Oryzias latipes: one gene and its partners. The main gene of each other region encodes a partner of the protein of the gene in region 2 in a complex. Links are inferred from orthologs where the notes say so. Each region holds a gene or a part of one and is shown on either strand. Other genes may lie near its edges.

Evidence for each region.
Region 1: the proteins of fga (region 2) and fgg are in contact, whole or in part, in a crystal structure (PDB 3GHG), measured with the Homo sapiens proteins. The link is inferred for Oryzias latipes from reciprocal best matches to the Homo sapiens genes FGA and FGG. Residues at the interface, in NP_000499.1 of Homo sapiens: Trp60, Asn61, Lys63, Cys64, Pro65, Ser66, Gly67, Met70, Leu73, Ile74, Val77, Asn78, Phe81, Arg84, Ile85, Leu88, Ser91, Tyr95, Asn98, Leu105, Ile109, Ile112, Asp116, Ser119, Arg123, Asp124, Tyr127, Val130, Ser131, Asp133; in NP_068656.2 of Homo sapiens: Thr47, Thr48, Cys49, Gly50, Ile51, Ala52, Asp53, Leu55, Tyr58, Gln59, Val62, Asp63, Leu66, Gln67, Leu69, Glu70, Leu73, Thr80, Ile87, Ile90, Gln91, Tyr94, Glu98, Asp106, Ala107, Ala108, Thr109, Leu110, Ser112, Arg113.
Region 3: the proteins of fga (region 2) and prothrombin are in contact, whole or in part, in a crystal structure (PDB 2A45), measured with the Homo sapiens proteins. The link is inferred for Oryzias latipes from reciprocal best matches to the Homo sapiens genes FGA and F2. Residues at the interface, in NP_000499.1 of Homo sapiens: Trp52, Pro53, Phe54, Cys55, Ser56, Asp57, Glu58; in NP_000497.1 of Homo sapiens: Phe382, Lys384, Ser385, Gln387, Leu423, Arg425, Tyr434, Glu439, Lys440, Ile441, Ser442, Met443, Lys470.

The regions. Positions count from the first base shown.
Region 1 is NC_019859.2:20,796,664-20,801,030, reverse strand, and holds the start of fgg (fibrinogen gamma chain), read right to left. Parts: upstream 2,975-4,367; 5' UTR 2,903-2,974; coding exon 2,840-2,902; intron 2,765-2,839; coding exon 2,717-2,764; intron 2,636-2,716; coding exon 2,449-2,635; intron 2,313-2,448; coding exon 2,228-2,312; intron 1,761-2,227; coding exon 1,630-1,760; intron 1,367-1,629; coding exon 1,233-1,366; intron 1,147-1,232; coding exon 962-1,146; intron 804-961; coding exon 526-803; intron 434-525; coding exon 255-433; 3' UTR 1-254. UniProt on the Homo sapiens protein: Together with fibrinogen alpha (FGA) and fibrinogen beta (FGB), polymerizes to form an insoluble fibrin matrix. Has a major function in hemostasis as one of the primary components of blood clots.
Region 2 is NC_019876.2:1,414,540-1,418,676, forward strand, and holds the start of fga (fibrinogen alpha chain), read left to right. Parts: upstream 1-1,305; 5' UTR 1,306-1,330; coding exon 1,331-1,341; intron 1,342-1,420; coding exon 1,421-1,598; intron 1,599-1,750; coding exon 1,751-1,855; intron 1,856-2,897; coding exon 2,898-3,081; intron 3,082-3,163; coding exon 3,164-3,309; intron 3,310-3,392; coding exon 3,393-3,491; intron 3,492-3,567; coding exon 3,568-3,720; intron 3,721-4,137. UniProt on the Homo sapiens protein: Cleaved by the protease thrombin to yield monomers which, together with fibrinogen beta (FGB) and fibrinogen gamma (FGG), polymerize to form an insoluble fibrin matrix. Fibrin has a major function in hemostasis as one of the primary components of blood clots.
Region 3 is NC_019860.2:10,383,358-10,387,606, reverse strand, and holds the start of prothrombin, read left to right. Parts: upstream 1-1,275; 5' UTR 1,276-1,406; intron 1,407-3,901; exon of another isoform or gene 3,902-3,961; 5' UTR 3,962-4,026; coding exon 4,027-4,099; intron 4,100-4,249. UniProt on the Homo sapiens protein: Thrombin, which cleaves bonds after Arg and Lys, converts fibrinogen to fibrin and activates factors V, VII, VIII, XIII, and, in complex with thrombomodulin, protein C. Functions in blood homeostasis, inflammation and wound healing.

The sequences.
Region 1 (4,367 bases), on a different chromosome or scaffold from region 2:
ATCTCAAAAATTTAAAAAAGTTTAAGCCTGAATTTAGCCTTAAGGACTTAAAGAACTGATGACTTTTCAAAGAATAAAAAAAAACAAGACTTGGTAAGGAAAATACATGTATTTAGTGGTCAAAACAACATTGAAGAAACCGAAAATTCTTTTTGGCAAAAATCTCCACAATGGTCAACAACACAGTGACACCGTGATAGTTGGTGGCTGAATACTTGATCTGAGGAGGCCTAAGTGCAGAACACTTAACGGTTTCACAGTCCTCCAAACGTTTTCACGCCAGCTTGCTGTTCTCCTCCTGACATGATGCGGTTGAGGGGAATGATCTTCATGGTCGTCTCCTTCAGCGAGTACCAGCGGTCGTGCCACGTCAGCCAAGTGATGCCATTGTCATAGCCGTGTTCACCCGCATCTTTTTCCGTGTATCTTCCACCTGGATGACAGAAACGCAGATTCCAAATTTTAATGTTTTTAACCTATTTATACATTTAAACATGGAAGTAACCACTTTTAGAGTCATTGTACCCTGGTAGTATTTTCCAGTCAAATGAGCGGCGTGACATCTGTTCATCCACCACCCGGAGCCGTCCTGCTGGGCACAGTTGCCATCATATTTGTCGTTGTCCTTGTCGAAGGTGCTAAACTGCATGCCATTGTGTGACGTGTAGAACTTGTCGCTGGGGTCTTCTCCTAGGTCAACACCATCGAAAGCATCTCCTGCGTCGCCACCAAAGTAGTAGCCATACATCAAGCGGTAATTGTCTTCTGCTGAGCCTACCCTAAACATGGCGTAGTCAGCGTGCCTGGAGTAAGAGACAGCAAGAAGTGAGACGTTTGAACCAGCTTAGATCTCGTTATTTACATTTTCCAGCCACATCAATGAGAGGTCATGTTTGTTTTATCATGTCCCTCTCTGCTCCTGTTACACAATCTGTCATAGTGCGTGGGTGTTCGTTTGTACTTTTTGTTGCCCTCCCAGTCAACAAGTTCTATCCTGAGGACAACCGGGATGGTGGTGCTGATAGTTAGTTGATGGATCTTTTCATTTCCGAGCCAAAACTCGGTGGTGTCATCCGGAGACAGATAGCCAAAGCCCTCCTTGTACTGGACCCAGTCTCTCCTGAAGTCCACACTGCCGTCACGTCTCTGCGGACAAAAAGGAAAATGGACTGGGATAAAAAAACTGTTTTGAGTGTGGGAAAAACAATAGCAGGATTAAAATGGGTACCTACTCTTTGGAGTACCGTAAAACCCCGCCCAACACTGTCAATCTCACAATAAACCAAGAACTGCTCCTTAGCTTTGGCTGGCTTCACATAGTAGAGGCCGCTGGTGGTGGCACCTTTATTTGCAACATCCTGGCAATCTGAGAACAACAAACAAACAATCATAAATGAAAAAAAATATGCATTCGTGGGACGTGACCATTTGTGTCTATGCCTAAAAGAATACCCCAAATTTGAAGTAATGGAAGATTATTTCTAAGACAAAACAAAAAAGCTTCGATGTAGCTTATTGATTTTGGCAGAAAACTAAACCCTGAACAAGGACACAAAGTGCTCACAACAGGCCCGATTGAGAAACTCCTTATGAAATAGGAACGGCCAGAGGGTCACGGGGAGTGTTTACCTGCTCCTGTGATAGGCTGGATTTCAACGGAGTCTTTGCAGGGCTCGCTGCATCTCTGCTGAAGCTGCATGGACAGCTGCTTCAGGTCTGCCATGCTTCTCTCATTGGAGGAGATCACATTCTGGAGTTCACTGGTGAGACAGGGACACCCAAGACGACTCTGAGTCATCATTTCCTTATGCTAAAAAAGATTATTGATGAAAAATGTTTGGGTTGCAAATCCGTCTGTGGGATGTTTGGTGGCGATTGGGAGAAAAAGTAGTTGAAACATCAATAGAAAAATAGAAAGTGGTGCAATTTTTGAACGTTCTGTGAGGAAGTAAAAAAGACAAGCGTTTCCTCCTCTTTAGCTTTGACTACATGATATCCCATAACAGGATGATGGAAGCCTTTTTCTTAGGAAAACAATTCAACTCTCTACAACATAAGCAGCTCATGTTAGCATAACTGTAGATATGATCCTCAAAAACACCAAAAATAAAAAAAACTTAAAACAAAATAGAATGATACTGAAGTGCTGAGACTACTAAAAGTGTCTATGAGATCAGAACTGACGCCTAAAATCCTGCAGTTAGACGTAAACCTCTGTTTTACTCACAATATTTGCTGTTCTTGTGCAATAATTGTCTTGTCAAATCGAAGAACGTCTTCCAGCATACTTGACGACCTTTTATAGAGAGGCTCTGAAATGAAAACAACCACGTATGCATTTATTTTAAGCTCGACATGTAACATTTGAAAGAATTTATGAAACCAACCAATGAAGAGAGAAACAACATTTTTCTATCTTTTTTGGAAAAAAAACCACATGGTGTTCACCTGGCTGGGAGCTCTTCTGGGCTGAAGCAGCTGAATCTCGCATGTATGTAATTTTTTCTTCTGCTCCTTCAGTCAAGTTAGCTATCATGTCCAGGTCTTTTTGCATTTCCGCCAAAATATCACTCACTTCTGGTAAATACTTGAAGAAGTAATCAGCAACTCCACATGTTGTGGGACAGTATTTTCCCTAGAATCAAAAAAGGCAAGTTGATTAAAAAGGAAAAAAAGATGTATTTTGATGAACACATGACACAAGTTTGGTACTCACAAAGCCATCATTTGTGGTGCATGTTCCCAGATTATCTCCTCTTACTTGCTATAAAACAGGACAGATTAGGTGAGTTGATTTTTTTTTTTCTCACAACAAAAAAATTGCAATCATTGAACTCACTGCAGATGCCAGGGAGAAGAGTAATAGAAATCCTCCCAAAGTGGCAAGAAGTTTTGACTGCATGTTGTTCTGGCTTCCTGTGTTTTTGGAGAGTGAAGGGGTGCCTGGACTGGGGGAATATATATCTGTACGTGGCCACGGGTCAGACTTTGGTAAAGGTTCATGGGTAAACATTCCACTCACTTTGTTGTCACAGATCTGTGACTCAGAGTGTAACAGGGGTTGCTTCAAAGTTGTGACGTTCTCAAAGTTTACCAACTAGAACACAGCTCCAACCTTCCGGCACAAGCTATATTTGTGCAAATCTGACTGCAGGTGAGGATGACTCAGCATCTTCTGGAACATGGCTCGTCTGCAGTCGGGAAATCGAAAAAGAATCACAACATGACTCATCACATCAAGGCAAATCATTTGTTTTCACTTGCTTGAGTCCATCTGTCATTACACGAGGAAGCATTCTGCAGGGTCTACATGCACACAGTATGTGCTGCCAAAAGTATGAAAACAAGATCAAATTCATAAAACTGGAACGTTTTGTTAAAGTTTTATGCTTCATATTGTTTCATGCCATTTCATTTAAATTTTGGTGTCTTAAATGAATGTCAATCAAAAGCATTTTTTGGGTTATTTATACTTTATCAATACATATGCAGATTGTTTAGCAATTCTACAAGTATTCATGCTATATAAGAACAAAGAGGAAGCTTTAAAAATAATTAAATTAGTCTATCCCAGGAATCATTACACAACACATGTCAGGTATCAAAATGGAGTTCCTATTGATTGTCTTCAGAAAAAGTTATTGTATTAATCGAGACTTGATAATAATATGAAAATTACTGCTCAATTTTTGCAACAGAAACTCATTTCTAAAGCACCTCGAAGGAATTGTGGTCCTGCTTGTAATAAGGAAAACAGCAGAGACACCTTAAAACTGATCTTCATGCATGGCTAGTTTGCTACGCTCACACTGACCTTGGCGACGTGCGTTCGTTCAAGCGACCACTTCCTATAAAAAGTCTATGTGAATGCACGCTTGAAGCTATCACGTTCATGCATAGCTTTGCATGTTTTTAAATCCGATTTTGGGCTCTATGTACAAACGCTCTGCCTTTGAACGCGCATTGAAAGCTAAACCAGTTGAACTTTGAACCAATCAGAGACTCGGATTTGGTAGTGAATTATGGGTAGTGTCCTTTTTAACCCACGGAAGTGCCAACCATTTGAAAATTAATTATGAAGGAGGAGAAATTAATAACTGTGGTTTGTGCCCGGCTGGAATTCTATAACAGCAAGTCTATCATATATCAGAATAGTTATGTGAAAGAAAAAGCTTGGAGCAAGATTCACCAGATTTGCACTGCTTTGACATTTTGCTGCAAGCCTCTTTCAGCTATGAGTACTACTTGCACAAGTATCGGGTAGCAACAGTCAAGTGTGAACACTGTATGCTAAAATCGCGTTCAAGAACCCGTGCTTAGCATGTTCTTTAGCACATTTTGCATTACTTGGCAAATACTATCACAAC
Region 2 (4,137 bases):
GGGACTGGACCCCCGAGTGTAGAACTGCCCACCTCGGGGGTGGAAAGCCATCGTCTGCCTCCACCTGGTGGTGGGATCAGGCACACGCAGGGCAAATGTCACAGTTTAGAGGCATTTTATCACACAACATGTCAACTGTCAACAATGGTGAGAAACGCCAACACAAGAATGACACAATCATTTAAACCACAACAAAAGACAAACAGAGAAAAAAAATGACTTTAGATTCATTTGTAACCCTTGTGCTATCCTATGGGGTCAAGATGACTTTTAACGTGTTCTCCCTACCATGACAAAGGTGGATAAAGGTGGAAAGATTTAATGTAATCCATGGACACCAGTGAAGATCACAAATCATTGAAGAAAAAAGGTTCAGAGCACTGTCTAGTGGGTCTAGATGACCCAACTCCCAATGTTAAAGTGCCTAGGATACCACAAGGGATAAACCAGAGTTTGCGTGTTTCTTCTGCAAAGCCATGAAGGTCTGCAGTGTTTCTGCAGAGAAATAGTTTATACAAGACGACAAACTCTAACGATGTAGTCCAGAACTAACTAGTGGCCTGGATGTTAAAAACCATTCAGACACCGTGCTCACTATTTTGGTTGTTTTAAACAACAGATATGACGTCACTGATTTCACAAAGTCAAAATCTACAAATTAGGATCATTCAATGTCTTTCATATATTGGAATAAAGCTTTGACATGTCACACCACTCCAACTGTAGGTGGCAGACATGTGCTAGTATTGGGCAGCGCCAGTCCAGCTCGTTCTAGAACCTGTGTTCAGAGCGTTCTTCAATGTGCATCACATGCCTGGTGTCCACGCATCCTTAGACAATCAGAGTGTAGTTAGTGTGGACATCTTACGGGCGTCCGATGACCACCTATTCATCACACTCGGCATTCGCGTGATGTCATTAACGACTAGAGTGTGGTGTACGACACCCACTTTCATTAGCCTTACTGCGCCGTGACAATGACGTCCTTTGAAGTGTATATGAGACTCAAGGGAACTGCTCTGCCCTTAACATGCAGCGGCTCCTCTCTAGGAGGACAAATAATCTGTGTCAAACATAAAAAGGGGGAAAAAAAATGTTTTTAAACTTATTAACTGAGTATTTGTGACAAAGCTTTTGTGACAAAGCTTTTCAGGGGAACCGAGGTGACCTGAGGTCTCTTTAAAAGACTTGAAACATGGCTTTTACTGGCTCAAACGCTCATGTGACCAAAGCTTGACTCTGCAAGTCTCATTCATCGTACAGGATCAGTCACAGGATGAGTCGGTCCTGTTTACCATCAGGGAAAGTTTGCCTTTGGAGGACGTGGAGGATGGGCTGCTGGTAAGCTGTGCGTGTTTGGGTTCACAGATTGTGTACTTTGCCACAGCAGGACAACAAACAGCGACGTATCGATCAGCAGGAGCCGTTGCTCAACTCTGATGCGACCTGACGGCCGGCGGCTCTCTGGTGAGTCACAGCTTTGGTGGAGGCCTTCAAAAGATGTGACTGCAGCTGCGCAGATGCAGTCAGACACAGAAGAGAGAAGGATGAAGCAGCTCGTGGTTCTCACCTGCCTGCTTTGTGTGGCTTTCACACAGGTGAGACACGCCTCTCTGGAGGTTTTAAGTGTTGCTTCTTTTTTGAGGATCCCAGAGAACCTTTAGTTTGAACTATATTTCCGTGAGCTTTGGTCTCTTTCTGACGCAGTGACCAGCCTCTGGTCCTCACAGCCCAGTCTCTGTTGTTTCAGGACACCGTCATCGACCCCAGAGGAGCTCGACCGGTGGAACATGGAACCAGAGACGAGAAATGTGCCACGCAGAAGGAGTGGCCGTTCTGTCTCGACGATGACTGGGTACTCTTCCTCGTTTTACCGCCTATTCATTCAACACACGGTCAGAGTAGCTGAAGTAATGGTCCGGGGGAGGAATGTTGTGGTTTTCCTAAAAACCTCCTCAGAGACTCTTTTCCTTTTCACGATTCCCTTCGAAACGGTCTTTGCAGTACGGAGCGTTCGATGAACTTAGCCGTAACGGATAAACGTTTTCTCAAGAATCGACACACAGCCTCGTCATAACACATGTCACCAGGTTTGACCCCCCCTTCAACCGAAAACACAAAGCAAAGAAGGGAACCACTTCAATAAAAACAGAAAAACAGCTGTGAAAACTTTGGATGCACAAGGAAATTCTGCTAAAACAAACAATTTACTGACGAAAATGTCTTCGTTTAGCGATCGCCTGACATGCTTCCTTCAAAGATACAGATGATTAATGGTCAAGGGCCATTGATAACTGATAATTGCACCCAATAAAAGTATGAATATGGGTGTCCAAATGTCAAACAAAAGCCCCAACATTTACCTTTCTTTAAACACTGTAACCATGTTATATTTTGGAGGAACACGGATGACAATAATCTTTAGCATCTCTATACTTATGTTGGACTTAAACTCATTAAAATGTTTTTGGGGTATAAAAGGTAAAACCTCCTGACTTCTGTAAGGGATTCATGTTTGCTTTAGGTTTTGCTAAACGCTCAGTTCATCGTCCTTTAGGATTCGTGGTCAAGTCTTCAAGGTCATTCTGCTCCTTTCCACACTAAACCATCAGAGACAACCAATGAACGCGCTTCCTCTAATAATGTCATTTCCTGTTTTTTTTTATCTTTCATTCGTAGAGAAAAAAATAAGCAGACAGTCTTTGTCCTGCAGCTTTAAATTGTATATTTTAATGCATCATTTGCAGAGATTTAAATGTCACATTTTTTATTTTGTTTATATTTTTTTTTTTGGGGGGGGGGGGGGGGGTTACTTAAACCCTACAAAAGTTGATTTAAATTCATTTTTCTGTCATTTTCTTGTAGTGTGTTAATTTGACCCCTTTTGTCCACCGTAGGGCCACAAATGTCCTTCCGGCTGCAGGATTCAAGGTCTGATGGATAAATATGACCATGACCTGCTGAAAAGGATCGAGTACATCCGTGACCAGCTGAATCAGCACAAGGGAAAGTATCGCTCTGCCGACCAGGTGTCCAAGCAGACCCACGACTACCTGCGGGAGAAACTCACCGTCGATGCAGGTCAGAGTCAGAAAACCGTCTCTTCTCCTCCTGGATTTGGTGGACAGGAAGTCCCATCGGTTGTGCTATCGTCTCCAAACAGGTCACGACAACAAGTACTTCGAACTGGCCCAGAGTCTGCGTCAGAGAATCACAGAGATCAAAATCAGGATTGACAGACAGATGAAAGTCATGGCCGCCTTGAAGGGGCGAATCAGGGAACAGGTCACGGAAATGCAAAGGCTGGAGGTATGGAGAGAGCGCAACATCTACCTGAACCTAAACCGGTTCATCTGTTGGTGGTGACGTCTGTTGCTGTTGCTCTCTGGCAGGTCGACATCGACATGAAGCTTCGCTCCTGTAAGGGATCCTGTGCAACCTACCATGAGTACCAGGTGGACCAGCAGAGCTACGTCACCCTGGAAAAGCAGGTGGGGACCGCCGCAGTTCCACCACATCAGTGAGAAGACCTGCTTTTGAAGGTCTCTCTGTCTCTCTGTCCATCAGGTAGCCCAGCTGGACTCGCAGACGCCACAGAACATCGAAGCAGCCGGGACGCTCTACGTGATGAAGAGCCGGCCGCTTAAGGACCTGCAGGTGGACAGCATCTACAAATCCAAGGCCGTGCAGGGTCAACAGAAACAGGACCTGTTCAGTGACGTAAGCCACTATTGACCACCCAAAAACACCTATGTGCCATTTTTCTTCAACGCAACAACAAATAGTCACAGGATGAATTTTTGGCTAAAGATGTCTAGGATCAATTTTAGGTCAGTGGGTTGTTCACAATGAACCGATATGAATCGTATCTGCGACCACACATTATGATATAATCCCAAAATGAATCGTCACACCCTATCTTAACCCCCAACACCAGAACTGAAGGTCTAACCCTAACCCTAACCCTAACCCTGATTGTTGATGTTCTTTGAACCACTGGGACTTCAACCATTTACGCAATTAACGTAAACCGAGGAATTCTGACGCTGAGGAAAGCAGCTTTACGTCAACATGCAACACTTTACGATAGCATGCTAGTAGCTTAAAGTGTTGCATATCGGTGCAAAGTGTTTTCTC
Region 3 (4,249 bases), on a different chromosome or scaffold from region 2:
CTTTACCGCAGCCCCTCCAGTCCGGGTGCTTTATTTCTTTAGTTTACACTTTCTCTTCCTTTCTCCATGGGTTGGGAACGTAACAGATTTGATATATTATCCTTTTTTTTTACATTTTTTATACTAATTTTGCTTAATAAATATATTCTATAAAGAAACTTCCTCCAGGATTGGAGAAATAGTGAGTTAAACTATTGTTTAACTCAAGTCTGATGTCTTATCTTAAGAATCACTATATAAAGTGTACATTTAGTAGAAAAGAATTTTAATTTGTGCTTGTAAATAAGAATGAATCTGTTTATGTCTTATCATCTGAAGCTCTTTGGCATTAAAGTTAGCCCAACTTCTTGTTTTGTGTTAGCCAAACAGGTTTCTTTCATGCTGCTATACTATCTTGGAAAAGCTTCAAGAGTTTTTGACCAACTAAATATTTTTAAACCCTTTTAATTTTTTCCCTTTGTGAAAATTTGTTGTTTTTATTACAGTTTTGAGGGAATTTCAAAATGTTACAGGCTGGTTTTGATATTTTAGTTTGGGTCTGTACATTAACTATCTGCTCCGATGGACCCGAAATCGAAGTTTCAACATTTTTTCTTGCCATAACAAACGTTCTGGGAGGAAAACTATTATTTTCCTCCAGGAACATGTTTGAATTTTTATTTTTTTATGTTTAAAAGGTATGTCTGATATGTATGAGGCAGCTCAAATGTGAGAGCCTTTAGTTCTAGTAGGATTCTTCCTGCTCAAGGCCGGATACGGGCAAGGTCCCCCCACCAAATTCTGCGATCGTCACCCCCAAAAATGTGATGGCCCACAAAAATACACAGCCAAAAAAAACAAACAGACAAAATGTGACTGCCCCAAGCCCGGTAAATGCAGAAGATAGTGTCAGTAAAAGCATTCAACATAAAATGTATAAAACATACCAAATACATCAGAGAAGAAGATAGATACACACGGATGGACGCACTATAAAAAAGCAGTAATTCATGAATCACTGAAGGCAAACTCATTTGGAATTTCACCAAATTTCTTCATACGTCGAAAACAGACAACTTTTGTGTCTTTTTGTGTGTTTTTTTTCTCATTAAACTTCCAATACTTATTTAGTAATGTTGTACTGAAACAGCAGGAATGAGGTCAGAGGAACAGAATGCAAAACAGCACTTCTGATACACACAGACGTAAGCTGGTATCTTCACACAGCCTTGGAGATAGAACACCACACGCTGTGTACAATGAAAAATGTCTTGTATTGATAAGCCACTGCAGTCGGAGGCATTTATGCTTTGTGCTGCACTTGTACAAGTCGAGCCGCCATGCAGAGACAAACCGTCTGCTCTGGCCTGAATAGATAGGACTAAAAACGTCTCTCTCACAGGAAATCTTTGGATGAAGCCAAAAAGGTAAGGACTGATTCCGCCATCAGAGGTACGTTTTTCCCCATAAGAGTCAAAATAGGATGAAGTTCATCCCTGCTGTTTAAAATCAAATGTTTTGTTCTTGAAGGATGGCTGCAGGCTCCTGAATGCTCTTCCCTGAGATAATCCTTGCATTTGTTGTTTGTTCACTTATGGTTGATGAGACTCCAATCGAAATCTCAAAAGAATTACTTGTGGGGTTTTTTTTCTTTGAGAATCTTCATTGAAATGGGAAAAATATTTGTTCTTAATATCGATTAATACAGATGCAAACTCTTCACATCTAAAAAACCCCCAAACTTTTCAAGTTTGATTTAAGTTTTTCTCTGTATTTTCTAGTGTTAAACTTTGTTTTAATAAAGTATGGTTGTGTAAAAAAAAAAAGCCTTTATGAAGCAAACTTCTTGACAGATCAATGTGTTTGGGCTCTGCAGAGGGTTTTGCAAAACTGGAAGAATTAAAGTATTTCGTCAAGAATTGTTTTGTCTCATAAAGAGCTGGGATCTAGAAATAAATAAATTATTATTAACATGAGTCATAATCCTTTTCTCCATAGGCTACAATAGGAAATTTTGATTTAAGACTAAAAAAACTAAAATTCTTGATTTAAGAATTGTTCATAAGACATCTAAATGCATTTGATTTAACAGACTTAGTATTTAACACGGAGAAGCCACATTAAATCTTTCAGAGAGTTTGATAACATTGTAAAAAGTAGATTTATGTTCTGAGATTAAGGGCTAGTTTTAGATTTGATGAGGATTTATTAAGATGGGCCAACTTTTGTTCACACTTTGTCCTAAAATGAGTCATTTCCACTCATTACACTGTTTTTTTGTAACTGTAATCAAAACTGCAATTCATTCAAATATTTATCATTGGACTGTAAAACATTTAACTTTCAGTAACTCTATCAGGCAGCAGCTTTTTTAGCTTATTTTTCTCATTTTTGAATGCTTGTTTGGAACTTCTTGTTTCTAAATTTCCTATGATAAGATTTCTTGTTAAGTAAAAATGACTTATTGCATAGACAGATATTTTACTGCATTCTAGTGATTATCTTCTAAAGAACAGCATTTATTTATTTTTAGGCTACCCCTTTTGTCTTATTCCTATATTCTAATCAGTCCAATATCCTTTTTTTTTGTTAAATTCAGGATTCAAGGGGTTTTTATTGCCATTGTCAGTGAACAAAGCAGTTTCACAGACTAGGAGTTTGCTGCGGTGCCAATGTGCCACATACAACACTTAGGAATAAAAATGAACAATAGTAAGCAAAATAACATAAAAATGACACAATGGTCAGAACAATAAATAGAAATAAACAGTGCAAACAGAGGATGAAGAAGGTGCAGGTAACGGACTGGTAACTGGACATATAAGTGAAAAGTTTAGGGGGGGGATTAAAAAGGGTTCATGAGTCGGACTGCAGACGGAAAGAAAGAAAGGTTCTGGTCCAGATGGACTTTAGCCTCCTGTCCTAAGGGAGTGGTTCAAGTAGACCATGACCAGGGTGAGAAGGATTGGCTGCTATCCGACCTGCACGCCTCCGGGTTCTGGAGACGTATAGGTCCTGGAGAGATGGAAGACTGCAGCCAATCACCTTCTCAGCTGAGCGCACAATACGTTGCAGTCTGTGTATGTCCTTACTTTCATGTTGTGTTTTGTTATATTGTCTGTAGTCTACTTTTAGGTGGTAGGGCAGCACTTTAGTAATTTCTGCATTGTGTTTTTAACAATCAAATACTTTTGTTAACTACTTTGTGGCAACAGAAAACGAATTCCTTTAATGACGTTCAAAATCTAAAGATTTCAGTTTAAGCAACTAACCAGCCGACGGACCTTATCTTGTGTATCCAGCCGGATAAATATTTGGTCACTGAGTCACCTGGGTGCCTGAACTGTGGAAAACAGCTGCAGCACATCAGTTCTCCCTCTTCCTAATCTTATTAAAAAAAAAAAAAAACAGCCTCTTCACTAAGGTCAGAAAAGAGTGTGACCTTTTACTTAAATGGCTGCTCTTTTGGTGTTTTTGACAATTGACTCCCCAGAAGTTCACACAGGAAGGAAACACAGATAGAAGTCATGATTTCTTTTCATTGGCATTTTATAATGGAAATTCTGGCTAAAGGATACTTTCTCCTAAAGCACTGAATGGTACTTGCTCTGAACACTTCACACAAACAACCAAAGATCTAGAATTAGTTTCAAAATCCAAAATGTTGTCAGGCTCAAAGCTCAGATTTAGCCGTTTATCCTGCTTTTTCCCAATAAAAAATAATCCACCTTTAATTATTTTGAGTCCATAATCTTTGTTTTCTGGGAATACTTTGGGGTTGAAATAGCATAGAACCTTTTCAAACATCAACAACATTTGTATTCAAAGACGAGCACCGGGGATAATGACCATAATTGTGGCTGAAAAGACTTCCTGTTGTATGAAACCGCATCATCTCTGAGAGCATGTCCACATTGACGGAGTGGATCCATTCATCAGCCTGACTCATACTTTGACCCTTCGGTCAATACTCTCCCCACAGGGAGCTCAGAACTGAGCGCACGGAGACACTGAACGCTGGTGGATCTGCTTTTGAGCTTTCGGATCATGGTGGAACCGACCCTTCGCACCAGCGCCGTTGTGCTGCTGCTGATTCTGCACAACTGTGCAGCAAACCACGGTACTAAACCTTTGCTCTGTTCTTTGAGGTTCTGCAGAGAGCTGCAGCTCTTAGGAGCAAATATAATGGTGAAACTGAAAAACTTAAAACACAGTTTTAGGTGCTTTATTGTCTGAATCATATATTTCTGTAAATTTTTTATCTTTTTAG